Linked DNA regions of Drosophila melanogaster. The protein of the gene in region 1 interacts with the protein of each later gene in a pairwise test. Each region holds a gene or a part of one and is shown on either strand. Other genes may lie near its edges.

Evidence for each region.
Region 2: the proteins of CG42676 (region 1) and prd interact in a two-hybrid assay, tested with the Drosophila melanogaster proteins (one large-scale study listed by BioGRID).

The regions. Positions count from the first base shown.
Region 1 is NT_037436.4:1,801,331-1,807,461, reverse strand, and holds CG42676 (uncharacterized protein), read right to left. Parts: upstream 4,356-6,131; 5' UTR 4,253-4,355; coding exon 4,135-4,252; intron 4,030-4,134; coding exon 3,895-4,029; coding exon of another isoform or gene 3,887-3,894; exon of another isoform or gene 3,729-3,886; intron 3,668-3,728; coding exon of another isoform or gene 3,107-3,667; intron 3,046-3,106; coding exon of another isoform or gene 2,630-3,045; exon of another isoform or gene 2,552-2,629; intron 2,453-2,551; coding exon 2,004-2,452; intron 1,932-2,003; coding exon 1,754-1,931; intron 1,420-1,753; exon of another isoform or gene 1,227-1,419; coding exon 823-1,226; 3' UTR 542-822; downstream 1-541. Other genes in the region: JTBR, read left to right, coding at 4,769-5,227; patj, read right to left, coding at 5,638-6,131.
Region 2 is NT_033779.5:12,082,401-12,087,872, reverse strand, and holds prd (paired), read left to right. Parts: upstream 1-2,045; 5' UTR 2,046-2,343; coding exon 2,344-2,410; intron 2,411-2,494; exon of another isoform or gene 2,495-2,730; intron 2,731-2,784; coding exon 2,785-4,559; 3' UTR 4,560-4,878; downstream 4,879-5,472. UniProt on the Drosophila melanogaster protein: Pair-rule protein expressed in a segmentally repeating pattern to define the polarity of embryonic segments. Capable of sequence-specific DNA-binding.

The DNA.
Region 1 (6,131 bases):
ATCCCAATACCAATGCCGCCGCCAAACAATTTTTATTTTAATTAACAATATGCTAATCGGTGGGGCTCCCTTTTTCAGTTTCAGGTTCAAGAAACACTGGAACTAATTCGCAGATCGGCGAAAGAAGGAATTATTATCGGGACTTGGCAATAAAAATAATCCCCGCCAAGCTGCCAAGTGGCGATTGAATGGCGGCATCGAGCGAATCGAACATGATTGAACGGATAATTAATGGCCGGGGATTAGCGACAAGTACAACAGGCCCCGCTGGATGGATGCTGTACCGCCGCGGGCAGCGAATTAATCAGCACCGGTAGACGAAACGGGCGTGGGTGCCCAGATGGAGATACGGAGCCACACGAGTGGAGCTGGTTCTGAAAGGAGTTTGTTTGTTTGTTCGCTGGCTTGTTTGAAGCCACTCAAATCAACGCCTTCAAGGCCAAGTGGTCGAATTCGACATCCTTGCCAGAACTGCGAACTGAGCTAAGCAATCTACGCACTCATTGTCATTCCATGTCTTTCCATATCCAGTTCAGAACTTGAGTTTAGTATATGCCAAACACCAGCAGGGGCAAACGACCTGCTCGGCCAGTGGCTAAATATATCCGCGCGCATATTTCCGACTAAAATTAGCGATTCATTCAGAAAACACATGTTTAATATTCAAAAAGGCATAACAATGACAACAAACTAAAAGAAAAATGCATTCCCCAAAGGGAAAAAAAACAGCGACACACATACGCACGACTAACACGATAGAAACCATTGAAAAGAGGACAAAGAAGATTTGAAATGTTAGAGCTACGACGGATGTACGGCTATCTACTCCTGCTGCACCGCCGACTCCTCCAGATTGCAGAAGACATTGCGCATCTTGTCCAGGTCGGGCGGCGCGGTGTCCGGGTTCCGGATCCACATGATGTAGGCCTGTTTGTCGGTCCGGGTCAGCGGCTTGAAGTTTCGCGGATTCTGCGCCTCCTCGTCCTGCAGCTTAGAGTTGTAGCGCGCGTAAAGGAAGATCCGGTATCGCCAGTTGTCGAAGGTCTGCTTCCACTCGGTCACGTGCTTCACGGCACCCTGCGGCACGGCGTTCAGCAGGTTGGCCAGCTTCAGCCAGTATGGGTCCAGCGCAGGATCATTGCGACGGTGATCGTTGATGAACTGGTGCTGCTGCAGGAAGTGTACGTACAGTTCCTTCTGCCGCTTGGACATGCGCTCCTTGCGCTCTGCGGACGAGAAACAGATGAACACCATTAACTCATTAACACCATTGTTCCGTAATCGGCTAAATAATTTTAAAATTTATTAATTAATGCAAATTAATACACCTGATAACATTGGAATGCGCTCAATTGGTGTGCGCTTTGTTTATGAACATCGCGAATGCAGCCCTAATGGAAAACGGCAATTATATTATTTAAATATATTTCTTCATAAAATTAAGTTGATGTAATATAATTTTTAATATTTCTGTCTGTACATTGAAACAATGCAGCAACTGGGCAGTAAATTGAAGAAGTAAATAGGAGAATAAAGTCATCTAAAGATAAGATTTGGAATGTGGTTTGCTGACATTGCGGACAAATTAGAAACATTTCCAAAACTTAATCGCCGTAGTAAAATATTTATATCGCCACATCTCGAACATTTTATTAATCTTTAAAATTAGATTCAATGGTGCTTGGTAGTTTCTTATAAACAATAACACAATTGACTAATTGGATCGGGGTAATAATTCAAGAGAGTAACTTACGTCGAATGTTGTTTGTCGCAGTGGTGCCTATGGCTATGTTGACTCCCTGGTGCTGCTGAATCTGCTGCTGTTGCTCCTGCTGCTGCTGCTGCTGCAGGAGAGCCAGGTGGTGTTGTTGCTGCTGAATCTGCTGATGTTGCTGCTGCTGCTGGATGATGTACTCTTGCTGGATGCGCTCCTGAAATAATAAGGCAGGTCCAAAAGTATATAACACAAAAGCGTTACACATGCCGGACATGGTCAAACACACCTCATGCTGCTGCTGCTGCTGCTGTTGCAGATGTTGGTGATGCGAGGTGGGCGGAGGCGGCAGCGGCAAGGCCGTGGACAATGGGAAAGGCGGTGGTGGCAGCGGCTGCGAGTGCGGCGAGTCCGGCAGCTCGTCCTGCGTGTCGTAGTCCATCTTGGGCGAGCAGGCCTCGTAGGCGGGCAAGCCCAGCTCTGCGGAGGCAGCTCCACTGCTCTCCTTATCGATCCGATACTTCATGCTCTCCTCGTGCTCGTGCTCATGCTCAGGCTCGTGATCCTCGTCCTCGCAGGGTGGCAGCGACATGAGCGGAGTCGGCGCGGCCTCTAGCACATTGCTGGGCTGGCACAAATTGGTTGGTTCCTCGGGCGTTGGCGAATCGTTGAGCATTTTCTGGTCTGTACAGCGGCACTGGCGATTCAGCACATAGTTGTCCAGGCCGACATCGTAGACTGCAATAAATAATTATGGATTGTAGTTAGTAGATAGTATAATTTGAAATTGCATATTTCATGTCTTATCTTATCTAACATAAAAAACGCGGTTTCTTTCTCTTAAAAAGTATTCTATTTCTTAGCAATAGTTAAAGTACACATTAACAGTTTTATATTTTGCACTTTGATCTCGATTTAGTAGTCGTAGGTGTTCGTTGCCGTGGTGGTCTCGTCCAGCGGCACGAACATGTCCATTTTTTCGTAGTCCTGCGGCGTTATGTGCTTGTGGCTGGTCCACATGGCATACGCCTTCTGGTCGGTAGCTGTCAGGGGCTTGAAGTTCTTCGGATCGGTCGTTTCCGACATGCTGAGCTTGGAGTTGTAGCGTGTGTACATGAAGATGCGGTACCGCCAGGCGTCAAAGGTCTGCTTCCAGTCCTCTACGTTCTTTACGGCGCCTTGGGGAACACTATTCAGCATGTGGGCCAATTTTGCCCACAATGGTTCAGTGAGGCCATCGTGCCGGCGGTGGTTTGATAGCATGCATGGATTGTCCTCGAAAAACTTAACGTACAGCTCCTTTTGGTCCTTGGACATGCGTTCGCCGCGTTCTTTAAGAGAATTATTAAGGATTTAGTTCGGATTTCAGACTTTTGCAAGCACTTCTCTCACTTCTAAAGCGACTCATCAGACCCGGTGTGTAAGGCGACTGTTGGGAGGTATTTGGTGCATTCATCGACGGCAAAGGATGCGTGTAGCTGGGGAAGATCTGCTGACCGGGCAGCAACTGCTGCTGGTGCTGTTGCTGCTGGGCTTGGTGCTGTTCCTGGCGCGCTAGGAATCTGGAGGCCCGCTGCAGACGTTCCACCTCCGATTCGGACTCCGACTTGGGTATAATATCCATGGGGTCAATGGCCTGGGTCATCGATTCCGGCGTCCGTTCCGAGTAAGCCTGCCCCAGGCGCAGTTTGTGGGAACTATCCGTGCGTTCCGGCACCGAGTTGTTGCCCTGCTGGTCCAGTGGCGAGTCCACCGCCTCAGAACTCATACGTAGGGCCGGAGAGGTGGGCTGGGAGTCAGGCACATATTCATGGGCGTGGTGCGAGGCGCTTTCGTTTGACCGCTGCGGCAGAGGCACGTGGTGCTGGTGCTGATGAGGGTGGTGCTTCAGGACCGCCATCGAGCATGAGGGCTCGTAGGAGAGCATCTCCTTGGCGTGGCCATCGTCCAGAGCTGCAAGAGGGAGCATTTTACAATTTGGGTTTTATTACAGATGGCAATCGCAGAGACTTACAAGCGAAGCGCACGCATCGTCTACATAAACACAACTGATCTACAAACAAGACTTGACTGTGAAACTCCGGAACTCCGCGAAATCGCGACTTTTGGTGGCCCGCAGTCACTCGAACGCTTAAACGCTAATTGAAACGCGACTTAGCCGTAACTTAAACGCTATTTACCTTGACTGATCTCTATAACGAAGTTGGTGAGGTCGTGCCTCTGGGCCAGATAGTGCAGCAGCAGTTCGTCCGGGATGTTGAAGCCGATCTTCTTGTTCCGGAACTCGAAGTTGTAGATCCCGAAGGCGGCGCGCACTGTGGAGCGGGATTTGTTAGACATATTTCATTTTTGGCGACCAAATCGCTTGGGGGCTCCGTGATTTGAGCCACCTCCCCCTCTCCGACCAGACCAGTGCTTACCCACGTTCTTTAGGTCCCATATGTTTAGGTCGCGGTTCTCCTGCGGCACCCCGATCATCAGCAGCTTCTTCGTGTCGCGAAACTGAAACGGAATTATGATTCCCGATCGCAGCACCATTTTCAAAGCGCCCACACACGCGATTTATAAAAATTTTCACAAATTTCTCAAGTCCGCTTTGTGCTTGTCCTCCGTAATTGTTTTGGTCTCCGTTTATTGTCGTTCGTAAACAGCGAACTAGTTTCGAGCTCCCCGAAGTCTGGCCACACATCTGCAGTTCCGCGAATCGGAGCGGAATACGCGGCTTATAAGATTTCCTCGAAAAATATTATTTTCTCCCTTAATTTAACGCTTTATCTAAATTACGAAATCTATGCATGTGCAAATTCAATTTTTTTTTAATATATAATCTTAAATGCCAAGCAAGAACTAGTTCCAAAGACGGCTGAACAAAAATAAAAACTCTCGCCTGGTCACACAGTAAAGCTGATTTCATAGGGGGAAAAGCAAAGCAATAGGATTTCGAGTAATCCCGTCCATATGTATTGGAGTTATCCACCTACTGAGCATGCATAGGTTCTTCCAGGTTGTTTCCAGCACTTGATCCGATACAAGAGTTAGCTGCCCGCCTTCACAATGCTCGAGAACTGTCAGCGTCACCACATGCTCCTTGGACTAGGAGCCCTAACGATGGTCACCATACTCGTCCTGTTCGTGGAATCTCGTTACGCGGCAGATGGTCCTCGTCGCCGAGAGCCGCAATTCGTGATCGAGGACAACTCGACCTGCTGGCGGAATGAGAAGTACACGATGGTGCAGGAGTGCCACCCGTGCTCCGAATTCGATATAGTCAGCCGGAGCTTGGGCGTCTGCATTCACACGCACTACAAGGAGGTGCTGCGCTGCCAGAGCGGCGAGATCGTAACCAGGAGCTGCGACCGGGTGGCGCTCATCGAGCAAATGAACTTCTTGAAATTTGAGGTCTCGTGCTTTGTAATCGGATTACTTAGCTACCTGGTCAGTTATGCCCGCGATCGAGTCCTGTCCAGGCGCAACTACATGAGAATCGAGCGACAGCTAAACCGGGTCCAATAGCCCTCCGCCAAATCATCGATTCCCTTCCCCAAGTGATACTCATTGACCGTACGGAAGGTACATTATTTAATTTAGTTTAAGTACATACACTCTGGAAATACCATGTTAAAATTCATTTGCTAATACTAGGGGGTTTAATATATTGCATACTTGTGGAATGCTTGTTTTCAGGGGACAAACACAATTCGGCGTTAATAATATGCATAACATTTTGCTTCGGTAATAACAATCGCTCCTGTACTTCTGGCATCGTTTCTGACATCGTTTCAGATTCTACTGCCTGTTGTTCATATTCGTAGAAAATATCGATTAACTAATCCATTAGTTAGCAACCGCGTTTGATTTGATTTAAAACAGGCTTAAAGATTCAAATGCCTGGAATGTGTGAAATTCTTCGTTATCGTAACACCCTAGTTCCGCCAGTCGGGAATCAGGTCGGGCTCAGCTCCCATGGAGGCACTAGGCGGCATGGCGGGCGGAGCAACTGTGGGCAAGGCTGGAGGCGATGGCTGGGCGTCCAAGGTCTCTTCGCTGGTGGTGCTCGCATTGCTGCAAGCCTTCAGTGAGTTGTCCGTCATGGGCAGTGGTTTGGCCACACCAATGCGCACCACTCCTTTCGAAGCACCCTTCAAAGCCTGCACTGCCTGATCCAGCGAGGCGTTCTCCAGGTTAATGGAGTTCACAAACAAAAGTCGATCTCCGGGTATAAGGCGTCCGTCCAATTGAGCCACCCCTCCAGGGACCAGAGAACGGATTACAATCAGCGTATCGTTGGGATCCAACGGATCTTGATAATCCAGAATAGAGAAGCCCAGACCGCGATCGCCCTTGACCAGCTCGATAATTTGCGGTTGGGACGACCACATAGCCAATCCGGTTAGTGGCTCCAGGGAGCGCGACTTCA
Region 2 (5,472 bases), on another chromosome or scaffold:
GCCTCTCGAGGCAGTTCCTCCAAATCGGATGAGATTCGAGTCTTGGAGATGTGTAGTAGGGTCGCAGGTAAACGAAGCATTCGCTGGCGAAAGTTGAGGATCGCGAGGTGGATTTTCATTCATAGCACCCTGGGTGGCATCATAAAAAGTCTCTTAGCATCCTTATTCATTGCACGGATGTGTCTTCATTTTCCCGCTGGCCGATTCGTGGAAATGCGAGCGAAGCTGACTTGCAGCGTTTATGGCACCGATGCCTCCTACTGCTTCCTGCATTTCGGCCAGGATTCAGGACCTTTCTCTACCCAAAGTGACGATCCCATAGCAGAATCGCCTTTTTCCAAGCGTTGATAGCGCGAAATTAGCGTTATATGAGTTGCCTATTCAGCGCTCATTGTCCTGCCAAATTGTGAAATCAACGAGGATCAAATCGAATGGTGGGTATCGATGGTGGATTGAGGCGCCTCTCCATTTGATTCGAGTTACATATGTTTGAGGATAATTTAATTATCACAGAATACTTGCTAGTCTGCCATCGTGGCCATGGGCTCAAGGTCATCGGGGATTTTTGCTATCCTGCCAGGCGCAAATGTAGCGATTCCATACTGGGTGCCTGGTACTGCGAACTCCTCCCGTTGGGTTTGCTTAACCAAACGCCCAACGGGCAGCCGCACCGAGCAGTAGAAACCCAACCTTTGTTGCCTTGCGGCCTCCGTTGTCCTTGATCTGCATCTCATCTGGATCTTGCACTCCGGCACTTGGATACGGATCCTGCCGAGGAGCATGCACATTCGTCACATCTCTGTGGGTCAATTTCCTCGCTGGCGTTTCAAACGGAGGTTGGGGTCCATCATTAATTCTTGCAACACTTGGCGCTCTCTATTGTTCGCGGCTTTCAGGTTTTTGTTGTTATCCCACTCGGCGCTTTCTTTTCTTTTCCATCGGTTTTGTTTAACTTCTTTTCGAGGGTCTCTGTTGCGTGAAATTCTACAATTAATCAAACCCACGACGGCCCATAGAAAAGGGTCGAAACTATGGTTATAAGCCGGAGGCAGCGGAGCATAATGGTGGCAAAAGCATGACAAGGATGTGGATGCGGTCATGGTAAGGATATGGATGAAGTCACTTTGTTAAATGTTAAATTGGAAAGTTGGAAACATAAACTGATCAATAGTCGCTGATTTTGTATTCAACTGAATATGTTTCCCTGCATCCAATATGGTGTTATATATTTAATATCTCACTTATTTTGTTTGAAAATAATTTACTATGATCTATCAATAGATAGTTCTAAACACACACTTTTATATTTATATGTAATATACTGATAATTAAAATAAAACCTACAATTTGAAATGAAGAACTTTGTTCACCGTTTCCGAAAGCAATAAATAACTGAGAGAAAAGAGGCTACTCGAGTGGCAATATAAACGAAAGCCATAATTAGGTATCAATAAAGGATATATTACGCTTGTAAAGAGTGTTAAACGCGTACTCGATTGCATTATGGGTTCCAGTGAATATCTAATTTGATTTCCGGGGCCAAGTGGAACCCCAAAGAATATCTCAAGTGAAGAGTGAAAAGCAAACGCCAGGCAGACTGATCTCTCAAGTCCAGTATTCCCTTATCCTTATAACAAGGTATCCATAAAGGATATGTAACGCTTAAATTGTATCGTGCTACTTACGGCATTAATTAATTTCCGGAAACCAGTGAAAGTCGAAACTATGCATAGGATTTGAATGGATGGAATGCCCAGGATCTGGAGCAGAAGTATTGTGGTTCCCTTGTACTCGTATACCCCCCAATCCAAAGTTCTCTGCTCTTCTCCCATTCCACGGTGCTTTTCACAGCTGAGACGCCCCCTGGCGGCGAGCGAGACGGTTGCTAAATGGGTCGAGTGAGCCAGAGCGAGATGCCGTTGTGGAGAGCGCTGCGATTGGTCCGCGTAGTGGTTACCTGCCAAGTGACTGTGGGATATGGCCGACGTCTGGGCCGTGGCTTCACAGAAAGGCAACGATCTTGGCCGACGTTCGGATGGTGAAGTCAGTCAGGCACAGACTGCGCAACGAGCCACACCGCATCTCGTCCTCGTTCTCGTCTTCGCCTTCGCCTCCGTTTCATCTTTCCCATCGAGATTGCGAACTAACAGATACTTAGATATTCGAAGTGCAACTAATCGGTTAATCAATACCTCGCAACGCTTACTTATGACTTTGACAAAGTGTCCAGACATTGTCCAGAACTAAAGTGATATAATCAAGTGATATACGAACTTCGAGACTGAGTTAACACCGGTTTTGTGCCGGGACAAGCTTACGCATCTTGGAGCTCCTCCAGAAACTATGACCGTAACCGCCTTTGCTGCCGCAATGCACAGACCCTTCTTCAATGGATATTCTACCATGCAAGGTGAGTGTCTATCGCTTATATACAACATCCAGCAAAAGTCACTTTGGAATATAAGTCACTTTCACAATGTACTTACTAAATATCAAAGCCTAGTTGATCATTTCCATATATCTTCATTTCTAAACCGACGGCTCAAGATCCCGCTAAAGATCTCAGTTTGGGCCAAGGCCGTCGGCTACTCTCTAATGGCCATTAGTTGCCCGGCGGGAGAGTCGCGCGCCTCTGACCTTCGACCTTAGCTCCGAGTTTCCCGTCTTCCCGGGAAGTCAACTCCGGTCGAAGGTGTCGTAAATCAAGTGACACGCGCTCCGCTCTACCTAGCTAGTATTGGAAAAGCCTCTAAAATTTCCATTTTCTCATCTTCCTCATTCCAGACATGAACAGCGGCCAGGGGCGCGTCAATCAACTAGGTGGAGTTTTCATCAACGGTCGTCCTTTGCCCAACAATATTCGTCTTAAAATCGTCGAGATGGCCGCCGATGGCATTCGGCCCTGTGTGATCTCCAGACAGCTACGTGTGTCCCATGGCTGCGTATCGAAGATCCTGAATCGCTACCAGGAGACTGGCTCCATTAGACCAGGCGTAATTGGTGGCTCCAAGCCGAGGATAGCCACGCCCGAAATCGAGAACCGAATTGAGGAGTACAAGCGCAGTAGCCCGGGCATGTTCTCGTGGGAGATCAGGGAGAAGCTGATCCGCGAGGGTGTCTGCGACAGGAGCACAGCACCATCTGTGTCCGCCATATCGCGCCTGGTGCGCGGCCGAGATGCTCCATTGGACAATGATATGTCTTCTGCCTCTGGATCTCCGGCGGGTGATGGCACCAAAGCATCGAGTTCCTGCGGCTCCGATGTCTCAGGTGGCCATCACAACAACGGCAAGCCCTCCGATGAGGACATCTCTGACTGTGAAAGTGAGCCGGGAATCGCCTTGAAGCGCAAACAGCGCCGCTGCAGGACCACCTTTTCCGCTTCCCAGTTGGACGAACTGGAACGCGCCTTCGAGCGCACCCAATACCCTGATATCTACACCCGTGAGGAGCTGGCCCAGCGCACCAATCTCACGGAGGCACGCATTCAGGTGTGGTTCAGCAATCGGCGTGCTCGTCTCCGCAAGCAGCACACCTCGGTCTCGGGCGGAGCACCTGGCGGAGCAGCTGCCTCAGTGAGCCATGTCGCCGCGTCCAGCTCTTTGCCCAGTGTGGTATCAAGTGTGCCCAGCATGGCTCCGCTGGCCATGATGCCGGGATCCCTGGATCCAGCCACTGTGTACCAGCAGCAATACGATTTCTACGGCAGTCACGCCAACATTTCCGTATCCGCCGCAGCTCCAATGGCCAGTAGTAATCTATCGCCCGGAATTACAACCACGCCACCGCACCACCATCAGTTCTACAATCCCAGCGCTAACACAGCCAGCTACATAATGCCGGGTGAGAATGGCAACACCACACCCACCGGGAACATCATCGTCTCCAGCTATGAGACTCAGTTGGGTTCAGTTTACGGCACCGAAACGGAAACCCACCAGACTATGCCACGCAACGAGAGCCCCAACGAGTCCGTGTCCTCCGCCTTCGGGCAACTGCCACCCACACCCAACAGCCTTTCCGCGGTGGTGAGTGGAGCTGGTGTGACCTCCTCCAGTGGGGCCAACTCGGGAGCCGATCCCTCGCAGTCGCTGGCCAATGCCAGTGCTGGAAGTGAGGAGCTATCGGCTGCCCTGAAAGTGGAATCGGTGGACCTGATCGCGGCCAGTCAGTCGCAGTTGTACGGCGGATGGAGCTCCATGCAGGCACTGCGCCCCAATGCGCCACTTTCGCCGGAGGACTCGCTGAACTCCACCAGCTCGACCAGCCAGGCTCTGGATGTCACCGCCCACCAGATGTTCCATCCGTATCAGCATACGCCGCAGTATGCATCCTATCCGGCACCAGGCCACGCCCATTCGCATCACGGACATCCCCATGCGCCGCATCCGCACGCACATCCGCATCCGCAGTACGCAGGCGCACATCCGCACTATCCGCCGCCCAGTTCGTCGGCGCACTTCATGCCCCAGAACTTCAATGCCGCCGCCTTTCCTTCGCCCTCGAAGGTCAACTACACAACGATGCCGCCACAGCCGTTCTATCCCTCATGGTACTAGAATCAAAGGGACACGGATCCACCACCTACTCCTCCAGGAGCAGGAGCAGGTGTCACCAGATCCATGGTACAAGTCGCCAAAGATGTACATACCCATAGAGCAGGGGACGAAAATATAAATAACATTTTATTTGTGGTGGAGCAGTACAGACATTTTCCGTTTGGGAAAACCGCTGACAGACTCGCTCCTAAACAATAAACATATGTATTAGTTCCAATTCGTAGATGTAAGCCTAGAAAATAGTACCGACTTAGGATTAGAGTTTAAGATGATTAGCCTAAGTAGCAAGTGCTCTTAAATAAAAAAATATATCTATGCTAATTTACAACGTACTCCAATGATCTTTCACTCGAAACGCTGGCCATTCAGCAGCCTTGACACGCTTCCGTACGCAGCGGGAAATGGGAAATCCTCTGGGCCATTAGAGCCTTTTAGTAGCTGCGCATTCCACGGACCTGGCTGGAGATCTCAACACTCGCCCCGGGTGAGATACCGATTCCGATTGCTGCTCTCGGAACTTCAGATCCAGCTGTGAGCGGGTCGCATAGTTTCCGGAAAAAAAGAAGAGAAAACTCCCGAAATGCAAGATGATGATTTGGAACGTCCAAAATAGCGAAGACAACTCCAACCAAGGTGTTAATTGCCCCCTCGATTCCATCGAATAGAGAGTGTTGGTCCCTATGGGACTACGAAGTAAATGGAGTAATTGCCCTCGTTCGGACTTACCTCAAATTCACACCTCATCCTCGGGGATCTGCCTACCCAACCATATTCTACGTGTCCGAGCGATGGCAATTAATGAAGTCATTATCCTTGAATCCTCACCTCCAGACAGCTCAGACAGCCTAACGCACACTGGCTCTATTATTTTAATCTAGAAAAAACTCCTAATCGCTATTTGCTCTATCGCTCT